Lonchura striata: one gene and its partner. The protein of the gene in region 2 interacts with the protein of the main gene of each other region in a pairwise test. Links are inferred from orthologs where the notes say so. Each region holds a gene or a part of one and is shown on either strand. Other genes may lie near its edges.

Region 1 (7,725 bases), on a different chromosome or scaffold from region 2:
GAGCCCCAAATGACGTCTGCTGGGTGTCCAGGCTGAGCAGCAGAACAGACCCTATAAAAAGCCTGTGCTTTAGTGAGTGAGTGGTGCTGGTAGAAATAAAGCAGGGGAGCTGCCTGCTCCCCTGCTGTGCCCCCTGTCCAAACCCCTGTGCCCAGCTGCTCCTGACCTGCCAGGCTCTTGGTGCTGCAGCTGGCAGCCACTCTCTCCCTCGCCAAGGCAATCTTGCACCTCTTCTCCCATAGCATTAATTAATATAAATACCTGCAAGGATCTCTCTGAAAGTTTGGCTGTTTACCTGCCAAACCCTACTTAATTGGGATTTGTGGTGGATCTCAAACATAGCTCAAAGACATCACTCAGCAAACCCTTCCTGCACACCTGAGGGACTGTAATTAAACCACACCAGGCCACAGGTTTCTGCATTAACCATTCCTTGCCATGAAAGAAAAGGAAATCAGGGCAGGCAGCTTGCTTCAATAGGTAAGAACAGGGATAATTGAAGGCATTACTCCCATAACTCTGTCAAAAATGGTAAATACGAAGTTTGATTTTTTTCCCCTCTCGGTTTTTCTTCCCATGTATTGCTCCATTTGAAGAGTAGAAGGGGCATGGTCAGCCTGTGGTAGAGTAATCCAGTGGTTAGTTGTTAGTAGCTGAAAAAGAATTTGGAAGAACTGGTTTCAATTCTTTGACAGTTGATTCCTTGTATGTATAAATGTTTATTGCCTCTGGTGACCATCTGTAAAATGAGGCTAATGCCTCACAGCAGGGCTAAGCATGAAACTGTTTAGGCTGTGATGTTCTGAGAAGCTTCTGATTGATTTCAGTCCCTAAAATGGGCCGTGTTTAATGTGATAAGAAGATAACCTTAAGCTTCTGCAAAGGTTAATTGTGTTTCCTGGAATGAAGAGGTTTAGTTGCTGTTTCATTGGTTTGGACACACAAAGTAGAAATGTTTAACCTGTGGCATGGGCTGTGACATCCACACAGGTGGTCCTTCTTTTACTTGAGGAGGAGGGAACAAAACAGATATTCCTAGCTTAGAACTAGGACTGATCAGGCTCCAATGAGTCTGCTCAGTCACTACAAAGGAGTCCAGTAATAAAATACATTTCCTGTTTATGCAATTTACCAAAATTCTAGAGAGACTGTAAATAAGAAGTATCTTATTAGTAAATATTAATTTCTCTTTACAAATAAAAGCACCAATAAATAAAAACTAAAGGAGGCTTGATTAGCTAAAATAAAAAATAAATCAGGGTATAAAAAATACAAATAAATCCATTTATAACATTAAGAGCTTCAAAGGCTAGAGTGGGAAGACCAACACTGTTAACTTTTCAATCTGATGAAAAACGTGAGTTTAAAAGCTGTCTGGATCGACGAGATGGCGAGCAAACTGCTGTCAGAGAGGACACAGCTACAGCAGAAGTAACACAAGAAAACATGTTCAGTGAGAAAACGGGCTGATGACAAGTGGTGAAGATGGTCAGCACGCCTGGAGGGATAACAGGCTCTAAGAGGTGAGAAAAAAAAGGTGACAAGTCAGAGAAAACTTGACCGTGACGGTTTGTTTTTTTTTTTTTTTTTTGGCTGACAAAACCGTTCCAAGGTGAATTGGTGGGTGTAGCTGCCCATCTGGCTGGATTCTGAACCTCCTGCCAGCGACCCTGCTCAACCACATGGCTCCTCCCGTGCAAAGAAGTCTTTGGGCTGACTGGACTTACTGCGGTAGACAGGATGCACGAGGAAGGATGCAATTCAGCACAGGCTATCTTTCCAAAACAGGGACAGGAAAAAGAAAAACAGAACAAAACAAACAACAAAACCACAAAATACCAAACAAACAGAAAAATAAAAGTTCTTCCGCAATACCAGTTCTAGGTAATTTGGGCTTCACTGTGACCAAAATGTAAGAGCTTGCCCTGTCAAAAGCTGACTGCAGCCCCTGCTTTTCAGAAACACATAGAAATTATCTAATTCCTTGTATTTTTTGGCCACAGAGCTGTCTTGGAACTGCAAATAAGCTGTTATGCTGTAGGGGATATTCACATTTACCTCTTTAGAGAGAGGATTACTTTATGTTGGTGAACACGAGTTATAAACTGAATGTAAATATTTACACTAGCTTTACCTTTGGAAGAAAAGCAAAAGTGAAAGCAGTGCAGTAAAAGCACAGCTTGTAGTTCAATGCTTTAGCACAGAGAAAGGTAATATTACATTAAGTGGTGTTTAATTAAAAACAATTCGACTGTGCATTGTTAATCAGTTCATAATTTATGGGCTACTTTTTAATTTACAAATAGCTTTTTGTACTTCACCACCGCAGGTGATATTCTCTGTCAGTTTTGTAGGGCCCATTACATGGCACCTAAGGCATTTCATTAGCATTTAAACGAGACTTAAGTGCCTGAGTAATTCTGAGATAGGCTGTATCTGCCTGGCTAGCTGACTACTGTATTTAATTAATTTCCAGACGCTTTCCTTCCTTGTTCTGAGGGGAAAATGCAAGCTCTGTCTAAAATCTGGTAGTGGTAGGAAGAACAGGCAGGCCACAGTTCTAGCTGCTGCCAAGGTTTCTTGCTCAATTTACTATCTCTAATTTCGTTATTCATCTTAATGAAAAGCTTTCTCTCAAAGAGGACAATATTTGAAAAGTGACCAAGAATGGAATGATCTTGAGCTAATGTGTTGCCTCTATTTCTGTGCCCTGTGTCTGGAGGCAAAGGAAAACAGATTCATTTGTTACAAACTGAAGTGAATCTTCGCCACAGCGAAGTGATGACGGACTTAAAGATGAGTCTGCCAGCTTTGAGCTGGGAGTGGCACTGACCTTGCTGCAATGGAGCAGATTGCATGCAGGCTTGCCGGGGCTGAAACCTGCTGCAACACCAACCAGCAAAAGTCTCTCTGCACGTTCTTCTTCGGTCATGATGAATTAATGTAATAGTGTCTTGAAGTGCTGCACATGCAAGCTACTTCTCCAACAGGAAAAGCTGAAGGCTTTGAGAGAACTGAAGTGGAAAAGGATGTTTTTCACTAACATGGCAAAGTGCAAAATCAAGCAGGACACAGGCTGTGTGCCCTGGTGAGCTGAGAGCAGATTGCTACCCAGGCAGTCAGCACAGGGACATGCTGACACTGGAGGTATCACATGAGTCACACCGGGACGTGGGGTCCTGCAGCTTTTTCTACTCTAATTAATAGAACAGCTTGAGAGTGACCTACAGCCCTTGTGACACAATGAAAAATCCCTGTGTTGGGTAATTTTTACCTCCATGAATTAAAATCATGTGAGAGTCTATTTGCGTAACAGGGATTTTTAGTTTTGCCCAACTGGAGAGACTTAATAGAAAAAGAGCAGACTAAGGAAGGAAAATTTCTGAAACAGTGGTTTGGCTGCAGTAGTGGGAGGTTTAGATGCTTTTCTTTTGAGATGCTGTTTGAGGTGCGTTTGTCCTACTTAAAGACACACAGCTCAGTGGGACACTGTTAAAATACCCTTGTTAAGGTTTGCTGAGCCAGGGCTCAGAGGATTAGACAGGCCCTGGTTTCATGCACACCCAAGCACCTAGAGCACAGGTCTTCTAACCCAGCATCAGCTCCAGTCTGAGGGCTCCTGGTTGGGGTAGCCTGTGGGAGCAATGGGCAGAGTAGGGCCAAAATCACACTCAAGGCTGTGCAAATAACAATAAAACTAAGGGACAGTGCCCTAGGCCAGAGGGGTGAGGCAGGGCTGTCTATTATGAGGACTGTGTGTTGTGTTGGATGGTAATAAGAATTTAAAGCTTTCTTCTGCATTCTTTCTCCACAGTTTGAGGAGGGTGCTGAAATCGTTTGAATCGTACTGACAATGATACTGTTAACTAGATGCACATTTCTTTCACAGACATTTTTACTTGTAATGACTTCTTGTCGCACATGAAGTTTGGCAGGAACCTCAAGCCTCCCCAAGCTGTGAGGTGCAGCTGGATGTGACTCCCAAGTGCCACTGTTTCATCTTTGCCCTATACCTGCCTCTCCCAAGGCAGCGGCAGTGGCTGGCGCTGGCTGGCGCTGGCAGTGCTGTCCCAGCCAGCCTGCCCCGCTCCATGGATTCCCAGCTGGATACTCCTCGTGTTAAAGAATCAGTCCTGTAACAATCTGATCAAGCATCACCTTAGAACCTGGTTCGTTTAATGGATGCACTCCTCCAGTGAGGCTGTGCCAGAGACCTTAATTTCTGGCGGATCCCTTCCAATTTCGGAGCTGAACTTATGCATGGCTACTCCACACCTGTTTGTTCTTGTGCCAGCCTTCTGTCAGCCTCAACAGCTCTTCTGCCTCGCCGCCGTTCCCGCACTTTGATGTCCTCGGGGGAGGGGGTACATCCCTGTCATTTCTCACGCTACTCCACATTAAATCAGCCAAACTCCCTCTTTTCGTAGGCTGTCCTGCTCCGCTTCAGGCTGCCCCCGCAGCCTGCCCCCATCCCTGCCCGGCACCGCAGCTCTTCCCTCAGGGCGGGCACAGGGGAGCGGCCCCTTCCCGCTTCCCTCGCGCTTCTCAGGTGCGCCCGCAGCTGCGTGTGCGTAAAGCAAAGCGGGGCCAACGTGAGCGCTCCCCTGCTAAAAACAAACCAAAACAAATCAAACAGCACAGCAAACCTGCGCACCGCGCGGCCTTCCCGGCCTCTGCCCCGCTCCGCAGCCCCGTCCCGCCGCGGCCGGGCAGGGCTGGGCCGGGCCGGGCCAGGGGAGGAGCGGCGGGAGACGGAAGTGAAAACAAGAGCGGGGGCTGGAGCCGCCGCCTCGCAGACGCGCTGCGCTGTCCTCGCCTCTCCGCGCTGAGCCGCGCCGCCGGGTGAGTGCCGCGGCGGCCAAAGCGAACAGAAAAATAACCAGGGGGGGAATCAGGCTAAGAGTCAGTAGGCTGGGCGCGGTTTGTAAAGCTCCGCGGTGCTTGTTTTCGTTTCATTTAACTTCTGTAAGCAGGACGCGCAACTTGCCGCGGTGGCCGAGCGCCCGGCCGGGGTGCCGAGGTGCGGCGGGGGCGCGGCCCGGGGCAGGAGGGCAGGCAGCTCCCGCCCGGGCTGCGGGACACCTGCGGGGCTCCTCGCCCCCAGCCGTGCCCGTAGGGCTGCTTGGACACAGGCTCCGGTGCGTCCCGCTCCCCGGGCTTTGTGGCACCCGCGGGGCTGCACGCCGGGCGCCCCTGGAGCGGCTGGAGCCGAGACCGAGCGCTCCTGCGGGGAGTTGTGGTCCCCAGGCTGCGCTGGCCGTGGGGCTCCTCGCCCCGGGGAGGTGGGCAGAGCGGGGTGCGGGGCGTACGGGGGCGGGAGGGCTCCTCTGGGCGCTGCGGGCCGACGGCTCAGCGCCCTGGCGGCGGCGGTGCGGGCCGCCGTTCCGGCCGGGAATTTGAAATTCCCCCTTCCAGACTCAGGTCCACTAAGCGTTTGATCGTCTAAAGGAAAGTTGCACATTTTCACCCTTAGCTGGTTTGTTTGCACAACGTTTGTTTGTTTGCTCCGCACGTGAATTTCATGGTTCGCGGTGTTTTGCTTTAGCTATTGCCTTGCCATATTATGACATTTGTTAAATAAAATTTGGAGCGAGTCTTCTTTGTTTGCCGTTACTTCCTGGTGTATCTGTCAGGCTAGAGATGCAGATATACCAGAATTAAAGGGATGAGAAAGATGAGTGATGCCGAGTGTGATGCACGGTAATTCAGAGTGCAGTTTCTTCCCTCCTATTTCCAGTTGCTACAAATGAAAAAGAATGGTATCAATTCCTAACAGAATCCATTATTTTTCCTGGGTCTGTAGCAGTAACTAGTTGATGCTCAACTTCAATAAATAAAAAAAAAATCTACACAGGTGCTTTAGCTTTCAATTGCCAAGTAAAGCCTGCTCACCTGTGTGAAACAACTGCACTGTATGCTGGTCAGTAGATGTGGCTTGCTTTTCTGCAGTTTTATATTTTAGAGTGACCTGTCACTGCAGTGGATTTCTTTTAGCGGGAGTGAACAGAATGTGTATTTTTATGCAGGAAGAAATCTGTGACCAATTCAGATCCTCTTTTTAAAAGAACTCTGTGCGTAGGACAATTTAACAGCTTAGTTCTCGTTGTAGTGGTGAGGAAGCCTCTTAAGAATCCTAGCTCAAGCTTGGCGGGGACTTTTCTTCCTCTTTAGCGACAGGAGAGCTCAATATTGTGTGCATCCCCTGTTGTTCATTGATGCTTGTCGAGGTTTTTAAGGGTGGGTTGAGTCAGCGCCTGGGGTCAGAGCTGCCCGTTTGCTGGATGCTAGCAGGCAGTGGTGGGTTGGGAATGGCCCAGTTACGCAGGCATCTCTGGTACAAGCTCCAAATTCTGCTTCCTAATACATACATATTTATATCTTGTGCTGCCTGATGCCAGTAGCCCTGCTCTGGTTACCTGAGTGGCCGTCGGTGTGAATAAAGCTCACTGTGTGATTTAGGAAAAAAGTGTGAGCAGTGGATCTCTGCTGCTTTGGGAGGTGAACCCAAAAACGTGCGTTGTGGATGACTTTTTTGGGGGGTGACATCTTTGCATCGATGGGGGTTGTGCGACAACCCTGCTCTCATGTTCCCTCATGTTCCTCGGGGGTGGGCTGCATTTGGAAAAATCCTCCGCCTCTGAGAAACTAACGTGGCGCCCTGCAGCGTGCGAACAGCCAAAACTGGGCTTTTCAGAGTTCCGTGGGGTTTGCAGCCGCCTGCTGCTGCTTGCCTGAAGGTCCACCTTAAATGTCCCTATATGAGTATGGAATCTGGCTGTGCCCCGGTGTAGTCTTACACCAGCCTGCCCTGGTGTGCTCCTGCCGGGCTTCAACTACACAAAAATAGACGGCATCCACTACCTAAGATGTCATTGTAACATTACTTATCTAAGGTGGAACTGAAGCCCTTATCTTTGACGCTGAGCAGCGCTTAAATATCTCTGTTGCCTTTTAAAGGTAATTTGTCGGATACATTTTTGGAGAGGGAGATGCGTGGGTTTTGCTTCCTCAGCATTGAATTATAACTGTGGATGTTTTGCTTTAGTTCACAGCTTTCATTTTTAGGGTTGGTTTTAATATCGGACTCATCTGTGATATTGTTCTGCCACTACGAAGCTATGCTGTAAAAATAAAAAACGTCACAGGGATTTTATTTTCGTCTGATTAACTGCAAAGTTGTGATGCTTTTGGCGTTGTTGTATTTAGAAATAAGCTTTGAGCTGATGACAGGGCAGCATATGATACTAATTTTGTTAGAAATGAATGTGCTAGTAGTGCTAATGTCTTCCATACTTCAGTTTAAGGGATGCTATCAATTCATGCTTGTCTCAATATTGACTTATTTTAAGCTGGTCTTTCATGCTGGATGGTTTTACCACCGCTGCCCCACATGGTGTTTTGCTAGTAAAAAGCAGTTGTCAAATATTTTGGCGGCAGCAGTTCTCCAGATTCTGTTTCTTCCTAAGCTATGGAGGGAAACAACATATAGGGAATAAAAGCACAAGTCATGACAGACCTGGTGTGGGGTTTTTGGCTGTTTTGGGGGGAGGGGAATATAGCCAAAGAAAGAATGTTTCCAAAATTGCGGACAGTGCCTTTTGTTTTTATCACCTTTAAATTAAAACTCTAATCCTCTTCTGCAGGCATCAGTTCTTTGGATTTGGTCCTTGAATACTAAACATCATGAGCAACTACAGCGTGTCTTTGGTCGGGCCGGCTCCCTGG
Region 2 (7,178 bases):
TTTATCCTCACCAGACACAAATCTCACTTGCAGCCTCATGAATGGCTTGGTGGCCACATTTCAGCCAAAAACACCTCAGAGGCTGTGGAGATGTGTAGGAACATTTTACCATCCCCTCCACTTCAGATGCAAGTGTGTTCCTCGCTGACCTTCCTCTCTGACTTTTCCTAATCTAGATACATTCTAAAGAGAGATTCATCAGTCACAAGAAGACTTGCAAGGCTGTAGTATTTATTTTTGATTTACCAGACTCACTAGAGAGTTAATTCACTTAAGGCAGGGATGGCCTTTTTGACTTCAGGTACTCATGGAATGATTACAACACCCAACAAAACAAAATAACAACAACAAATCATCCACAGTCTGAGGAGTTTAAACATACCCAAAGGTGAAATCCACGAGTCTCCAAGAGCAGCGCCCATAAAATTGCACTTTATGGTCCCTTTTTGAACAGCCTTTGTGAATAAGAGGAAAACCAAAACAAAACACCAATAATTAAATTTTAGTTATTCGTGACTCTAGAAACAGTTCTCATTAAGTGAAAAAAGTAAGTAGCACTGTGAATTAGGCAATAGGGACAGTGTATTCCAGAAAATAAAAGTACCTGTAGAACCCCCTGTTTTGAAGTGAAAAGTGAACTTTATTCTTCAAGTACTTACATTGTGCAGCTCTAAAGCAACCCCAGCAGCCATTTTACCTCCATAAGATTCAGAAAATATGTAGAATGGGATGGTCTGGGGAGAGAAAAACCACACAAGGAACTTGTTGTGCGGAGGGCAGAAGATGCCTCCAATCATCTCCCAGATCCCATAGGACCCAGGCACTGGCTGTTCACCTCTCATCCTCAAACATTTAATGTTTTTCTTATTTTAAGCTGCACATTAGGTTTCCATAACATCCTGGTGATTTGCTGGGGTTGGTTCTGAAGCATTTTGGAACTATAAGCAGCTGTGATCCTGTATATGCTGCTCGGATAACTCAACAGACAGAACTCCACCCCAATGCTTATCTAACTAAACCCCAAAATCAAGATACAACTTCTGAAATGTGGAAAATAAGAGACAGTGGTTATATTTGCACCACACACTACCTAGCAGCAAAACACTGTTCATTTGGAAGTCTGTTCCCTAATTCTTTTTGAATTATATTTAAAAGCAGAGAAAAATACAACAATAAACAAGATTTCAATTCACTTACCTGGAATTCTGTTCTACCCTTGAAGAATTCTCCAAGAAAAACCATCATATCAGAAACTACTGCGGTAAGGTTTTGGGCAAACAAGCTACAATCATCCACATAACTGAATCCAGTGCCCACAGGATTATCCACAAACAAGATACTGGCTGCCTGCAACTGCAGAAGCAGAAAAGTTTGTATAAAACCTCAGTTCAGCACCAGCAAAAATCTTAGTTTTGATGGCACAAATGATTAACTGAGCCAGCAAATCCCTGGACCTGAAAAGACTTGCAGAAAAATTAGGTGCAACATAAAGGCCTTCAATTTGCCCAATCTGTAATGAGAAATACAGCCAAAAAAACTCCCAGTGATCCAGGGGCAGGTCACCTAGGGGAACTCCGAGTACTTCAGTCTATTGGTAACTCAGGGCACAGATATATTGCTCTAATTAAACTTCCACCTTCACAGGCAGCTGTCATTTGTTCTCCCTTGAAGGCCATACTGGACCTGTAATTATAAGCCATAGGTTTTACGCTGCCAGCCACCCAGAAAAAACTCTGTGACTGCACACAATGGAGCTGTGATTTGAAAGAACACTTTCTACAATTTCCCTGCTCTGTTTCCCATTTCACAGTTCCATGGAAGACCAGACATACTTTATCAAATCAAATTAATGTCTACCCCTCAGTTTTGAACAAGGCTATTCCTATCAGCTAACTTATTAACCACAATACTTTAACTTGAAATATTATAGTTCTACTGAACTTTAAATGAAAAACTGTTCCGTGCTTTTTTTGTGTAGTCATCATCTGCTCACACAAGCAAACAAACATTTGTAATTAGTAGTTAGAAGCTGAACTCTCTACTGTACCCAGGTTGTATTTCTTGGTTTCATTTCTTTGTCTAATGGACCAATCTCTTCAAAGTTCCCATATCCACAGCCTGAAGCTCCTGGACCTCCCTGCAGGGAAATATCAAATGACACAGATGTTAAAAGGCAGCATGGCACAGATATGACAGATGGAAGAAAAATACAAGACAGCCAGTAAGTAGAATGACAGATTGTAAATTTTTAGAAATGGTTTTTGCAGTACACATTAATTTGTAGAGCAGGATCTGTTCCTCATGGTCTTGGGCTATGCACACACATGCCATTTCTGAAAGCAAGAATTCAACAGAGAAGCAGTCACCCACTTGTGAGAGCTTCTGGTGAGCTGCCTGCTATTTGAGCACAGTTTCAAAACCTTATTCCCTGAATATGGAGTGCAAAAGCTAACTGCTAACTGGGACTTTGCAAGTCATTAGCTTAATCAGCATGTACAGCCTTTGGGTTTCACTCTGATGAAACAATCCAGAGAGAGTAAGAACAAGTCCTCAAGCGATTCTATTCAACATTAACTTCTGCAATGTACTGTAGAGAACACACCACCATTTTTATCAAACTGGGATTGTTTCCATTTAGAAATCATCCTCAATCTCTGGTTATTTTATTTCTCTCTCTGAATATTGTTTAGACTACAAACTCTTCAGGAAAGGAGCTGTGAAATTACAATGCACAAAAATCACTACTGTTGTATGAAAGATAAGAACAACTTCTGTTATTGCAATCAAACTTGATGGAAGGTGAGCAGTTGAGGACATCCCACAACTGCAGAATGAAACCACTCTCATTTTTCCCAACCCGAATACCTCATTCACAAGGCAAGGCATTTAGAACTAGGCAGTTTTGAATCCTGTTTCTGTAGAGCTGCACAATATCAGATATCAGACTGAACCAGGCACAGATGGAAAGAATTATTGCTTTGGTGTCTCTCGCCAAACCTTACCTGAAGCCACAAAACAAGAGGTAACTCTGTGAAGTCTTTGGTTGGGTTATTTGCATAGTAGAGCCACCAGAACATGTGGGCCTTGCTCCGAACATCCACATATCCCCACACCTCTTTGGGTTCTTGGGGCTGCCTCAGAACTACGCCTTGAGGGGAAACAATAACAATCAGCTAAGTAAAAAGGCTCAGCTTTGGACTTTCCACCAGAATCGTTCCAAAACATTACATTTCAATCTTGAGTGTGATAATTAGAAACGTTACTACTATTAAAGAAAATTATTATAAGAAATCTGCCTATACTTACACCCACACCCGAGTTATTGTCATGAAGTGTGTAATTAAGAGAGCTGCCGCCAGAATAACAGCCAAATCGCTGGAATGATTTGTTCTTGATGTGTTTTCAAGGCCTGGGCTGAAGGCACAGCCCCAGTGAAATAACTCCCATAACCAGCTGCAATTTCGATAAGTATCACAGAATATTCTGAGCTGAAAGGGACCAAAAAAACTGAGTCCAACCGTTTCGTGAACGGGCCGGGCGGGGATCGAACCCGGAGCCTTAGAGTTACTGGCCCCATGACCCGACAACCGAACTCATCCCAGCACTTGGATGTGCGGGGACCGCACCGCTTCACAGCCCCCAAGGAGAGCAGATGCAGGCAGACAGAGGGTCACTTCTAAAGGAATCCAAAACAGAATTTCAGTCGGTAAAGTCTGGTCACCTTACGCAGTCAGTCTACTGCCCATCTCGGGCACGGAACAGACCTTTGACACTCCATCACTTAATCTCAATGATCAGGGCAAAAGGCAACAGCGCAATGGAGCAGGAGCAGTAGGGCTTTTCCAAGCCAAGGAGGCTTTGCTGCTCCCGCCGGGACTGCCACTACCCTCTCCGTCCCGCCCGGCCGCCACCCCGGCAAGCGGAATTTCGCGCGGTTCATCCCGGGCCCTGCCCGGCAGCGGCTGCGGGACACAGGAGCGCTTTGCTCGGAGCCCCGTGCCCAGAGGCCCCGCTCCCGTCCCGCCCGGCCCGTACCTGCCGCCAGCAGCAGCACGTACAGCGCGGTCCCGGCCCGCAGCGGCCCCATCGCTCCCGCAGCTCCCGCGGTCACGGGACCGGCCCGCCCGCCCTGCGGCCCCGCCCCGCCCCGCCCCGCCTCTTCCTCCTCCTCCTCCTCCATCTCACGATGGCGGCCGGCGGCGGCCCGCTGCGGCTGCGGCTGGTGTTCGACCACCCTCCGCCGGCCAGCCCGGGCTGCGCGCTGTGCTGGCTGCTGCTGGAGCCGGGCCAGGCGCGGCTCGTCACGGACCTGCTCAGCCTCATCCGCCATCGCTTCGGCTTCAGCCGCCGCGCCCGCCTCAGCCTCTTCCTCGAGGGGGCGCTGCTGCCGCCCGCCGAGAGCGCGCGCCTCGTGCGGGACAACGACTCGCTGAGGTGCGGACCGGACCGGACCGGGACAGGGACCGGGACCGGGACAGGGACCGGGACAGGGATGGGGACCGGGACAGGGACAGGGATGGGGACAGGGACCGGGACAGGGACCGGGACAGGGACCGGGACAGGGATGGGGACCGGGACAGGGACAGGGATGGGGACAGGGACCGGGACAGGGACCGGGACCGGGACCGGGACAGGGACCGGGACAGGGACAGGGACAGGGACAGGGACAGGGACCGGGACCGGGACAGGGACCGGGACAGGGACAGGGACAGGGACCGGGACAGGGACCGGGACAGGGACCGGGACCGGGACCGGAACAGGGACAGGGACAGGGACAGGGACCGGGACAGGGACCGGGACCGGGACAGGAACAGGGACAGGGACAGGGACAGGGACCGGGACAGGGACCGGGACAGGGACCGGGACCGGGACCGGAACAGGGACAGGGACAGGGACCGGGACAGGGACCGGGACCGGGACAGGGACCGGGACAGGGACAGGGACAGGGACAGGGACCGGGACAGGGACCGGGACAGGGACAGGGACCGGGACCGGAACAGGGACAGGGACAGGGACCGGAACAGGGACAGGGACAGGGACCGGGACAGGGACCGGGACCGGGACAGGAACAGGGACAGGGACAGGGACCGGGACAGGGACAGGGACAGGGACCGGGACAGGGACCGGACCGGGACAGGGACCGGGACCGGGACAGGGACCGGGACAGGGACCGGAACCTGGACAGGGACCGGGACAGGGACAGGGACAGGGACAGGGACCGGGACAGGGACCGGGACAGGGACCGGGACAGGGACAGGGACAGGGACCGGGACAGGGACCGGGGCTGCGGGATCGGACAGAGAGAGCGGGATAGGGACAGTGGGACCTGTATAGGGATAGCGGGATACGGAGCGGGACAGCGGGGTCGGACAGAGAGCGGGACCGGGACCGGGATCAGGACAGCGGGATCGGCGGTCGGTCCCACTCACACCTCATCAGTGTCTGTCAGCGGTGCCAAGAGGCCGGAGCGGGTTCTGCCCGGTGGTGCGAGCCGTGGGACGAAAGGCAGCGGGCAGGAGCTGATGCCCAGGAAGTTCCACCTGACCGGGAGGAAGAGCTGCTTCCCTGTGCTGGGACAGAGAGGATGTGGAGTTTCCCTCACTGGGGATATTCCAGAGCCCTCTGGACACAGCCCTGTGCTCTGGGATGACTCTGCTTAGGCAGGGAGGTGGGACCAGATGACCCCACTGTGGTCCCTTCCAGCCTGACCCATTCTGGGATTCAGTGAATCTCCACGTGGTTTTGGTGGGACGGGGATGGAACTTCCCCGGGGGTCTGAGCTCTTCCTTCCCTGGGCAGTGGAGTGGGAGCGGGGTGCCCATGGGCACTGACTCCCAGTGCCTGAGACACCTCAGGATGTCCAAAAGGATGGAGGGAGCCGAGCAGTTGGAAATGTTCCTGAAGATGGAAAGGGAGCCTGTGCCTGCAGGGGAGGGTTCTGGACTGTCCAGGGAAGAGCTGGAGCATCTCCACTCTAGGGGAACTTGCCTGAGCTGCTCACGTGTGGGGAAAAGTGTTCATTATGCTGAACGGTGGCTTTTGTTTGTTTTTTTAACAGAGTAAAATTGGAAGAGATAGTTGCAGATGATTATGAAGAGATAGATGATGGCTTTAGTTACACAACAAAAGAAGACAAAAAAAGGCACAGACATAAGGAGGATGAGGAAGAATTGTCTAGGAATGAAGGCAAGCATAAAAGGAAAAAGAAAAAGGAGAAGCGTAAACTTGAGTATTCCTCTTGTAGGGAAGAGACCTCTATAGATACTTGGGACTCTCAGAAAAGGTACACGAAAAGAAAAAGAAAGGAAGAAGTTAGGGGAAGAAATATGCTTGCAGAAGGTAAGGAAGAGAGCTCTACTTCCCATTCTAAAAAGATGAAAAAAACAGAGAGGGAGAAGCAGTTGGCAACAAAAAAGAAGGATGAAAATCAGACAAAGGTTGCTGCAGCAAAGATGTCTTTAGAACAGGCAAATGAGAGTTTTTCTCTAAATTCTGGTAAAAATAGCACCAAAAAGATCACAACACAGTCCAGGAAAAAGAGGGTGGGAGCTTCAGATTCATCCAGCACATCGTCTGACAGTGACAGCAGTGAATTAAATATAAAGGAAAATAAATCTTCCCATAAACCTGTAGTGGTGACACTTCCCAAAGACAAATCCCAAGCTGCTTCAGATTCTCATGTGAAAACTAATAAAGTGACTGTAAAGTCTAACACTGAAAAGACTAAGACTGCAATTAGTAAAAATGCTAAAAAACCCCGGTCTTCTAGTTCAGATTCTGACTCGAGTACAGAGGATGAGACGGTGACACCAGCACAAGACAGCACCGCAAAGGAAAAATCGGTGCCAAACCATGTGGTGGCTGTAAAAGCCAGCACCAAAGCTCCCAAAGCACAGAGCTTCTCTTCAGACTCTGATAGTTCAGATTCAGACACACTTGTCATTAAAAAGTCTGCAGCAGCGTGTGCTGGACTGTGTAATTCCGTAGTAACGAGGTGCATTAAACAGTTGCCAGCCAGAGTCCAAGGACCGTTTGCCTGCCCCAGCCGTGGAAGGGGGCGTGGAACAGGAGAGGATAACTTCTGGAGAGGACCTAGGGGCCGTGGGTTTCGTGGGATGATGAGGGGCCATGGGAGAGGAGCAAACCCTGGCTTCTTCTATAACTACAGCAGTGAAGGC

The links. The genes of interacting proteins can lie anywhere in the genome.
Region 1: the proteins of COIL (region 2) and PDLIM5 interact in binary tests that used the Homo sapiens proteins (3 or more experiments, as listed by UniProt). The two-hybrid records come from large-scale screens. The link is inferred for Lonchura striata from reciprocal best matches to the Homo sapiens genes COIL and PDLIM5.

The regions. Positions count from the first base shown.
Region 1 is NC_134606.1:51,585,251-51,592,975, reverse strand, and holds the start of PDLIM5 (PDZ and LIM domain protein 5), read left to right. Parts: upstream 1-4,715; 5' UTR 4,716-4,842; intron 4,843-6,727; exon of another isoform or gene 6,728-6,957; intron 6,958-7,643; 5' UTR 7,644-7,683; coding exon 7,684-7,725. UniProt on the Homo sapiens protein: May play an important role in the heart development by scaffolding PKC to the Z-disk region. May play a role in the regulation of cardiomyocyte expansion. Isoforms lacking the LIM domains may negatively modulate the scaffolding activity of isoform 1.
Region 2 is NC_134621.1:7,704,899-7,712,076, reverse strand, and holds the start of COIL (coilin), read left to right. Parts: upstream 1-4,158; 5' UTR 4,159-4,186; coding exon 4,187-4,434; intron 4,435-6,058; coding exon 6,059-7,178. Other genes in the region: SCPEP1 (retinoid-inducible serine carboxypeptidase), read right to left, coding at 383-455, 660-734, 1,198-1,353, 2,048-2,137, 3,003-3,148, 4,036-4,087. UniProt on the Homo sapiens protein: Component of nuclear coiled bodies, also known as Cajal bodies or CBs, which are involved in the modification and assembly of nucleoplasmic snRNPs.